Linked DNA regions of Drosophila melanogaster. The protein of the gene in region 1 interacts with the protein of each later gene in a biochemical or structural test. Each region holds a gene or a part of one and is shown on either strand. Other genes may lie near its edges.

Region 1 (5,299 bases):
TCCGCAGACAGTTCCGAGCCGCTTTCATGCCCGAATGCCCATGCCCCATGCCCCATGCCCCATGCCCCAAACACAAACACAAACGCAAACGGCGAGCGGAAGGCAGTGAGGAGCGTTAAGTAGCTGGATGTCAGTAGCCGATTTGCAGTTATGACAGCCCCACATTCCCACCACCAACTGCAATGCTGCTCCCCTTTTTGGGTGGCAAACTTTAAATTAAACAGCAGCAAAAAGCAGCGGGATGTGACTTCCAGCACAGCGAGAAAACACGAGTATGCAACGCAAATTGATCAATGCTACACAGATATGTGTCTAAAGTGTATCAGCCGTTCACAATTGCTCATAAAACTTTCATATTTTATCACTCGTTTATGTCCTTTTTTTTAGCAACAGGAAAGCCATTATGTTTCCACTTCACATGCACATCCATTTCCCGCTTTCGCAATGATTTATGCACATTGGGAAAAATAATAAAATGCATAAGAATATTATGAATTATAAAAGATAATTTATAAAAATATAATTGGTATTGCCCAACTGTATAGATCAACATCCTAATATGCAGCTTATTACCTCTAATTATTTATTCTTTTGTTCATTGTAAAATATTTGATTTATTGTTTGAATGACTAAAAGCTTGTGATTTACAATTAAAATAGATGCTGCTCTGACTCCGTTTTCTCTGTGTATGCAAAAAAAAAAGGGACGGGGCGTCAGTGAAGAGTGAAAAAATATGGCACTGCATTTGGCATGAGGCACGGGACACGGGGCATGCGGCTTCCAGCATGCAGCACGAGGCAGGCAACAAGCAGCCCGGGAATTGCCGGAGTAGAATCATACAAAATATTCAGGGAGCAGCGGCAAAAACAGCAACATCAGCTGGAAACAGCAGAGCAACAGAAGTTGTAATTTACAGCTTATTTACGTTGGAATAAAAAATGAATTAAGACAACGAACCAGCAGCATGACAGCAGCTTCCTCCACGGGCAACTCGCAAAGGTAAATGCATAAATAAATCAGGCAAAGTCCAGCAGTAAAAAAAAAAGGTGGAAAAAAGTGAAAAGCGTGGGGAAAGCGGGAAACGAGAGGGAGCGGGTAAATGTAGGAGTATAATTAAATGCTTTGACATGAAAGAAAAGCAGTCAGCTAAATGGAAATGCTGGAACTTGGTTAATTAGCACGGCCAGAGGTGTCGCCGAAGTCCTTGCAGGACTCAAACTTCGAACACATAGATCGAGTCAGCTTCAACTTCAACAATCAAGATGTATATTTCCTGCAAAAAAAAAAAACTGGTCACAACATCGCGCACTTGCTTCTGTATACACTTGCACCGACTCACATAGATGCGGATTATAATGCCAGACGGCGGCTCACGATGGGTGTGCAAAAGTAGAGAGAGAATAGAAATAGAAATAACAACTGCAGCGGTGGAAGCTTAAGTGCAACTGCAGTGGCTGTGCGGCTCAAGTGTTGCCACAAAGGGGTGGGCTTGCATCCAGCGACAACAAGTTGCACGCCTTTGCTGCAAGTGCGACTGCAATTGTTGCCGCATTATAAATTGCAGAGCTGCAACAATGAAATTATTATACGACGAGCAGCTAAATGTATCACATGCCAGCCACACGCCTAATCATCTTGTAAGCACTACTGTAAAAAGGACACTCGACTAATTCGGTTTGGATGCCCGAACTGCTGGCTGAATTTATATTATTATTTGCTGATGTTTGCAATTTGGGCACGTGCCGCAAATTCCAAAATAGTTGAACGTGTGCCACACCAGTCGAGCCAGAAATCCGGCTCCACCAAAAGGTTAAGCACAAACACTCTCGATTTTTTTTCTTTTTGGTGCAAGGGGATTCGACCAAGGACCAAGGACCATTTTTGCGCTCCGCTGGCTTTGTTGACAAACACATTTTTTGAGTGGGGCAACATAATGCGAGAGTGAAGTGAAGTGAAGCTGCTGCCGAAATCAGCGCAAATTTAGTGGCAAAGCAAATAAATTTAGTTTAATTTTGCCCAGCCATTGTTGTTTATTTTATTTCATTTTCATTTCATCTTTACTGAAGTCGCTGGCTGGCTGGCTTTTATTGCCCCAACAAATGGCAGTCGTGGCATTAGGAAAAGTGGCGCAAAAAGGGTTTCACTCGTTTTGGCTTGGTGTTTGTTCAATGGCACATACAGTCGATCCGATGGCCCTTTGTTTGGTCCAGTCCCGAAAAGTCCCAACTCCCACTACCAGCGAATCCTAACAATAATGTCGGCTATTAGCGGCAGGGCATGACCGACCGAATCCCGGGTCAGCAGTTTCAAATAAAACTTTGCGCCAGAAAGGTTCTTAATTTTGGCTCGAGATGCCAAACCGATTTTTGGGCCAGAACAGACCGACTAACCAACCAACGATGGGCCCACGACACTCACTAATTAAACTAATTAACTGAGATGGTCGAGGGATAAGTTGGCTAAAACATCGCTTCAAGACGCAAATTGAAAGGGAAATCGCTTAGCGAAGTGGGTCAACATAAATCCAAAAGTCCGCCCCAAAATGCAAAATGCTAAATATGCTGCAGTACGACGACGAGTTTGGAATTTTCACCCAGTTCTCATCCAGTTGCCTCGATTTCGAATCGTTTAGTTATGCTTGTGGGTCACCAAATCTGGGGATAACCACCTTTTTGCTGTGTTTTATTTTCCGCAACGCAGGACCTTCTATCAGTTAGTGGTTTATCCTCGAGATCGTCGGTAATTGGGATCCTGCTTTCCGAATCCAAGCACACGAACACAAATAAAAACTTAACACGGAACTGGACAGCGATTGCCGCATTTTATTTTTGATTTTCTCTCAACGCTTTATCAATATGCATGATTATTATTCTGGCATTCACTTGAGCTATTCGCCTGATTTTCAAGCACTTTTCGTGGCCCGTTTCGGCCGCTTTGGCTGAGATACATTCAGCGTCAGGATAAACGCGCACACACGCGACGCGAACGCACGAAGTCCGGCAGCGCCAGCGGACACATCCTTACGAGCGCACAACAAACACGAAACTGAGCCGCTTCGTTTTTGCGCAAATAAATTCCCAGCTGAAAGGCAGAAGCCGCCGTTGCCGCTGCCACTGCCGTTGCACCACCGCCGCATCCCCCGGAAAACCCCTCCAGAATAGAAGGTCGGTGGTTCGTGGCCGACTTCGGGTTTCCAGCGGCTTTCCACCACACACACCGTGTGTGTCTCCCGAACTTCTTTGCGAGCTTCAGTGTGTGCTGTTGCCTAGATTTGTGCGCGGGTGGACGCCTCGGCTGTCGTCCTGCCGAGAGCGAACGGACTCACGCTCTCTCATTGGGAGAGCGCTTGTTCCACTTTCAACTCCGAAACTCACCATGACCAAACTCCGAATTGCGCTGGCCTTATCACTGATAAGAGACGCGCTCTTCGGCGGCCACGACCTGCTCAAATCGCTCAGGTGTCGAGCGTTGCGGCACAAACAGAACTGAAACGTTGGCAGCAAGTGTTTTAGGAATTTCTAAGGCACTACAAAGAGGTCCTGGACGGACCGCAGTTAGCTTCGGCCACACATAGCAGCTCTTTGGATGAAAACTAATTTTAAATTTAAATAATATGTTATATAAAGTCTCTTATAAAGGAGCTAAGCTTCAATTAATTTTCCAAATCTTATAATCCGCTTATTTCGATTATATTCAATATTCGAAAAATATTTATAATAATTTATTGATTTAAATTTCTTATAAAATAAATCATAACATTACATTTTGGAGTTATTCACAATCAGTGGACGTTTTTACTGTTGCCAGTTATTTGAACAGTAAAAATGCTTAACATTGGTAGTACATTTGTAGTAATGTTAGAACTCTTCAACCGCTGTAATGTCTGGAAAAGATTTCGACCAAAATCATAACCCCTGAATACTGAATACTGAATCAGTAAATTGTTGTTTTTGCCTTGTCCTGTAACCGAGTGTTTACAGAAAATTCCACCGCAAAAGAAGGTTTCCGTAACATTTTCGAAAATCACCCCTTGGTCCTGCGCGAATGTTGTTTTCATGAGTTTGTTGGTCTACATTCGAACTGAGTCAACGTTCTGTTAACGCGTTGAACAGGCTAGGGAACAGAGGTCTACTCTAGAATGTTAGTGCAATGTTATTGTCCTAAATTTGGAAAGGGGTAGAAAGCGAACCATTCTGCTAATAACATTCGCAAAAAGGACGCCTATAGCTATGGAATAAATAACATTCGGGGTTAATCAAATGATGTGAACCTGCAGTTGAAGGAGAAATTGTGTTGGTCTATGTTATGTTTACATTACAGACTTTTTCTACTTTTAATTTTCGAACAACGTTAACAAGATATTCGAATTGAATGTTCTGTTAATGCGAACATTACATGGGCATGTTATTTATAACATGGTCTGTAAAATAACTGTTTGGATTACATAGTCCTACAGCCTTGTTAGTTTTTTCTTAATTTAAAGTCCTTTAAAAGATATCTTTTATCTTTCAACTAAATATATTCTAATGGTATTATTTACCGTCAATTTAATTGAACATAGAACACGATTTCTTTCGCATTAAATTTGCCATCTGACAAAACTGCCAGTCCATCGCAATAATTTGTTGTGCCGATCAGCGTGTTACTTCCGCAATTATCCCAGTGCCTCAGGCACCTGCCCCTAAACGATGTCCACACCCCTCGAACCGGTCAATTGCCCACAATTTAATGGCCATAAGGAGAGTAAGGGTACCCACCCCAGCCAGCCACATCCTGATGCAACTAAAGATGCGACAGGACGAGCTGAAAAATCCACCCTCGAGGAAGTCGCATTGCAATCGTGTTCGCAGTCCTGTAATCGCAGGCACTTCTTGTTGTTGCCGTTGTCAACGCCTCTCTAAAAGGGAGCAAAAGGCAACATCAAGGATCAACCCCTAAACTCAACCAGCGACGATTTATAACAAATTTTAAATTGCAAAAAATTGCAACATTGATGAGGGATTGCGATCTGGCATCGGGCGAAACCGAAACTAATTCGCAACAAGCGCAATAAAAATTATGAACAATAGCGGAAATTAGCCATGGCATCGGAGGGTAGGGAAAGTCACTCACTTGCTCACTCACTCGCCCTGCGGTTTTCCGCCAACAGACAGCGCAGCGAAATGGCAACCAATGCGTGACGAATGCAAGCTGCGTTCAACAAATGGGGGAAAGTACACAGAAACAGAAAGTGCTACAGTTAATCAGGTCAAAAGCTTGTCAATGGACTTCTAAATCAGAAATCCAAATGAAGAAATAT
Region 2 (5,252 bases), about 19 Mb from region 1:
AAAGGATTGGAGAAACCAAAAACTTAAGGAGAGCAAAATTAATCGAATAATATTCGATTTGATTCAGCGAAGGGATGAGCTGGAGTCCCTAAATTCTAGTAGTTTTGATTATTTAATGGGTGTGATGGCCAATGGAGATTTGAGTGGTAATTCAAAGGCCCCAAGTCTAAAATTGATGGTCGATAAGTCTTTGAATGTTCTTACTAAATATAAACAAGGATATCTACTCATAGTGGAGCAATTTATACCATCGGGTATTGACAAAAGAGAGCAGTTGCAGCTTTTGAATGATACTTTGGTTAATCTTCACAAAGATCAGGATACTTTAACTCTTGTTTTAATGACCAATGCCATTTATCCAAAACCAAGCCTGGATGTCAGCGAAGAAACCGAGACAATCAGCCTTCTTCCGGAGATATTTAATGAGGCGGAATCTGAGATCCAAAAACGACTGCACCAAATGCCATCTGAAAGCTTACTTTTTGCACAGGGTGAGTAACCTATTCTACGGTATCCTAGTTATATTTATTAATTTTATTTATTAATAACTATTTCAAGGCCCCAAGTCCTCAATTTTTCAAGGTGTTCGAAAAGAAACCTTTCTGGCACATGCAATATCCCATGTCCTTAGCAGAAGTAGAGTTCGACCTTAGAATACTATTCACATGTATATGTAATAAAAATGTTTAGGTAAAATGAAATGTGTTTAAATAAAATTTCTTTAGCTGTCAGCCCGAATAAAAGACGTCCTTATAATTTGATTGATTTATTAAACTTTAACTAGAGATCGTTGATTCAATGCTGCTAATAGTTGTTAAGTCACATGATAACATTTCCGCCGGACTCTGCAGTCGTCGCCGTGGCAGTTGCAGTTGCACTTCCCGTTGCAGTTGCACCTGCGGTCGACGGAGCCACCCAATTAAAGGCGTGGCCAACGGAGGACACTCCTGCGGCAGTTGCCGCTTGCCTTGTTGCTGTTGCTGCCGCTGGAGGTCCCGTTGCCGTCGCTGTTGCCGCAATGCGTGGCACCGGCCGCAGGACATTCGTATTCGGATTGGGTCATTTGACGGGCAGAGGAGGCATCAAAGTTTGGGCCACATTGGACAGTTGCCTCAGGTGATTGGCCTGCACGTATTGGAAGGCCGAGGATCGTTCCAAGTGCTGCGATAGGTAAAATTCCCCAAGAGAGTAGAATCGACGCTGATCGAATGACTGAAAGGGAAATCCCGGAAAGCGTTGTCCACCCGGATAGTTCTTACCACTTGGCGGCGGGTACATGGGCATGCCAGGCGGTGGGCGTGGCAAGGATGCATAGGGAGCGGCAGATGTGACCGCCTGTCCAGTTGTATGCTGCAGCTGGACATGATCGGCCAATTGGTGGCCATTGATGGTCAACTGCTGCTGCTGGGACTTGAAGAAATCCAGATTCTTGAGATTATCCAACATCTGATGGGAGGCCTGGTGTTTCTTTAGGTAAGCTTGACTGTTGTTTGTGGAAAATAAATATAAACATTTCAAATTAACTGCTTAAAAATATTTAAAATTTCAACTTTTTTAAATACCAAATAACTAATTAAATTGTATAGTTTTTTTCCGAAAGTCTTACTAACTCACCGTCGAAAAGTCTTTCCGCATATATGGCAAGGATAAATGCCATCGCTGGCATCATCGCCGCTCCTAGTCGCCTCCTGTACCAGATCGCCCGTTTCCACAACTCGTTTCTTGGCGGGATTAACTCCAGCCGCCTCCGCTTTGGGCTTGTGCCATCTGCGATGGGAGGCCAAGTTGGCCGGGCAATTAAAGACCTGCAAAGGAAAAAGTGTTTTAGTTGCCTGGAAAGCGAATCCTTCCTTCGGACCACAAACCTTTTCGCACTCGGAGCACTTGTACTCGATGTGAACGATGCGGGGACAACGGTGCTGGGCCAACATAAAGGCATCATCGTAGACAGTGCGACAGAGCTGGCACATGTAGTCTCCAATCTTGTTGTCAATGCTGGCCAGGATGGCCTTGGCCTCCTCGGTGATTTCGACCACGTTAAAAGCCGGATCAATGTCGCCTTTGCGCACCACCAGCTCCTCGTCGTCGCGCAATTTGCGAATGATGGTGCCAGAAACTGGACTTATGGTCTCCTCATCGATGGCCATGTGTTTTCGTAGCTTCGACCTCCTACGTTCCGCCTTGTGGGGTCGAGATATGGGTGGAGGCGGAAGTGGAGGTGTAGCAGGGATTGTAGAAGTCGCTGGAGGCGGAGGAGGTGGAGGAGGCGGTGGAAGGTTGTCGGAACTGGTAGTCCTAATCTCCGCCGTTGCCACGCCACTCAGATCCGTGTATGTCTTCCCGCTGTTGCTCTGGAGTTCCGCCAAACCGGAAACCTCCACATCTGGCTCTGGAAAATCCCGGTCAAAGAGTCTGGCCAAACCATTTACCGCCTGGTTGTGCAGCTCCTCATCCTCATACAGAAGTTCATTGCGTTTCAGGGCCGTGGTCTCTATTAGTTGGGCCTGCAATCTTGTGGCCACCAGGTCCGTCGCCTCATCCTCGTCATCGTCACTGCCCAGGACATCGACAAACACCTCTTCCTCATCATCGTCGCCATTAACGCTGACTTGTACCTGCTGCGTCTCATCGTCGCCCTCGTTGACTTCCTCCGTGTCCGTGGCGTACTCATTGTAGTCATGGGAACTGACAACTGTTTCATCCTCGTCCTCGGTCAGCACAATGGTCTCATCTTCCACGTAGATGGGCGAGCTGACGCTCGATTGACCCGCCGGAATTTGCTCAAAGTTATTTTTCGTCCCGTGAAAATGACTTTTATTAAAGGAAGCGCCCTCCAAGCTGCTGCGTGTGGCATATGGCTGATGATGTTGCTGGTGTGGTAGTTGATGTTGCTGCTGCTGATGATGATGAAAGTAGCCCGGCTGCATTGCCAGGCTCGACGGAACAACTGGAGCTGGAGCTGCAGGACTCGCCATGTGCGGACGCCACAGGTAATTCTCCTCGGACATTAATCTCTGGCGCTTGCGAGGCGGCGAGGGCGTTGAGGGTGGAGTAATTGGCACTACACTGGCCGCGGCGCGCAATGAAAGATCCAAGGGGGAGAGCAGCGAAATAGCCGGACGATGCTGGCCAAATTGCGGAAATGTCTCGTTGATTGCTGGTAATGCCCGACACTCGACGAAGTGAGTGGTGTCTGGGTGGCCCTGGAGCAGGGCGGGCAGTGGCTGATGCTGGCCAAGATGCTGCACCGACTGGAGATGGGACTGCGGTTGTGGGTGTGGATGAGGATGTGGGTGATGGTGCGGGTGCGGGTGCGTCGGCGGATTCATGTTCATCATTTTTCTCCCCTTTTCTATTGCGTTGTAACGTCAACTTTCTGGTATTTCATTTGAAGTCAGTAATCACTCCTATTCTTGCACAATAAAGTGTCAAGTGTTATAGTATTGGGCTTTGGGCTTTGAAGTTAACTTAAATAAAGTTTCTCAAATAAATAGTAAATCCAATATATATATATAAATATATATATAAAATGGGTATTTAATTATAAAATTAAATTTTTAATAAAACATCAACTATTCTAAAAATGTACCTTTTGCTTCATCTAACACTTGATATGTTTGATTACTTAATGCACTTTGATAATTTATTTTTTAACTATCGTCGTATTTATTGTGTTTTTAAGTGTAGCACTTCACATCATTTTTTGTTGGCTTGCTCTTGTTTCAAATATTCAATGTGTATTTTGCACAATTTCAAAAATTTCGTTAGATATTCAACTTTAATCGGGAATCACTGAAAACTGTTTGGTTAGCCCAAGGTCTATGCAGTTAACTTAAGGGTTTTCCGTGACACGCAACTGACCCGCGGCAGGCTTCAAAGAGAACTGAACGGCGGACGGTCACCTGTCGCAATGCTGCTAGCTGAAATTGGGTTTGAATGCGAAGCCAATGAAAGGCAGTAACCACCACCCAGCCACCCAACCACCCTCTCTCATCCACTGGACACCCGCATTATTGAACGGGATGTGGATGTACGGCTCTCGCTCGCACCTTGCGGCGGAATCCTGAGCGGCCTGCTCTGGGATTCGCCGGGCGGATGACATAGCTCGACCATCCCACCCCCGATTCACCCACGCGCACGGTAGGCGCATGCGCAGCCACGCCCCCTGATGCAGGCCCACGAGGGGGCGCTGCATAAATGTATCATCTGTTGCTCCACTGGGGGCACGCTTATTGGCAGCGTCCTGCAACTTGCCACGCCCCGTCCAAAGCCCAGAATGGAATGTCATTGAATTGTAGATGAAGAATTTCATTGCACTACGTTGGAGTTTAAGCCACCCATTCCACATGACTTTTGTGGGTGGCTAGCTGTGGGGTGTGGAGTGGTGTAAATGGTGTTTGTGCTTGGGGCGTTGACAGGTGAGTGCACCTTTTGTTCCCAGACCCATGTACCTTCCATCGGCCAGAGTTCTGTTCTTTTACTCCCCCTGGCATCATCATCATGGTCAGCGTTGTTCAGACATTTTAAGAACCAAAGGATTCTTTTTGTGGTTTTGAAAATTTAATGCAGCTCCCCTCTGGCGATTCAAGTGAATTTTCAAAATGGCGTCAGCTTTTGGCCAAAAAATTAGGTAAATCAATGGAATTAAGCCAGGGCTTCAAACACGTAAAATTTTATACAGCATGCTAAGAACGTTCTTTTAGTTTTCTATATAAATTGTAAATGTCTTTAAAATAATATAATAGTGAGACTTAAGATAAATTTTAATAAATATTCCATTTTATAAAAATTATAACATAACGTGATTTATACTGGCAAATCGATAGTAAAAGTCTGACACTCGAGTTATCTTTCGATATCCAGACCTGCCTTTAATTGCAGCTGAATGCAATTAATTAAAGAAACGGTCTACAAAAATCTAATTAAATTGTTGCGTCGCGACGCCATCGGAAAACAGGCTCGTGCGCTGCAGCAGAGTCAAAAACAATTCCGACTAATAAACTGAAATTAAATTACGAACTTTTATACTCCGTCGCACAACCGAACGAACAAGTGGCTTCCCAGCCCCATAAAGAAGGTTAAAAACTGTGAAAAAAAAATGTAGATGGCTTATTGTAGATGGCTTATTAAGTTTTGAGCCTGGCCAAGATCTGTTGTGGCAACGAGGTCAACAAGTTTCAGTTTGCGGCTTTTCCTCGCCCCCGGCTAATTGTCAGCTTCTTGGGGGGCAGCGGCAGCTCATTAGCATAGCT

The links.
Region 2: the proteins of Ptp99A (region 1) and nerfin-2 form a complex in vitro, tested with the Drosophila melanogaster proteins (one study listed by BioGRID).

What each region holds. Positions count from the first base shown.
Region 1 is NT_033777.3:29,375,394-29,380,692, reverse strand, and holds the start of Ptp99A (protein tyrosine phosphatase 99A), read right to left. Parts: upstream 3,048-5,299; 5' UTR 2,669-3,047; intron 1-2,668. UniProt on the Drosophila melanogaster protein: May play a key role in signal transduction and growth control. May have a role in the establishment of the intersegmental and segmental nerves.
Region 2 is NT_033777.3:10,069,261-10,074,512, reverse strand, and holds nerfin-2 (nervous fingers 2), read right to left. Parts: upstream 3,397-5,252; 5' UTR 3,339-3,396; coding exon 1,866-3,338; intron 1,806-1,865; coding exon 1,615-1,805; intron 1,484-1,614; coding exon 1,060-1,483; coding exon of another isoform or gene 820-1,059; 3' UTR 752-819; downstream 1-751. Other genes in the region: Alp13 (alkaline phosphatase 13), read left to right, coding at 1-491, 559-653.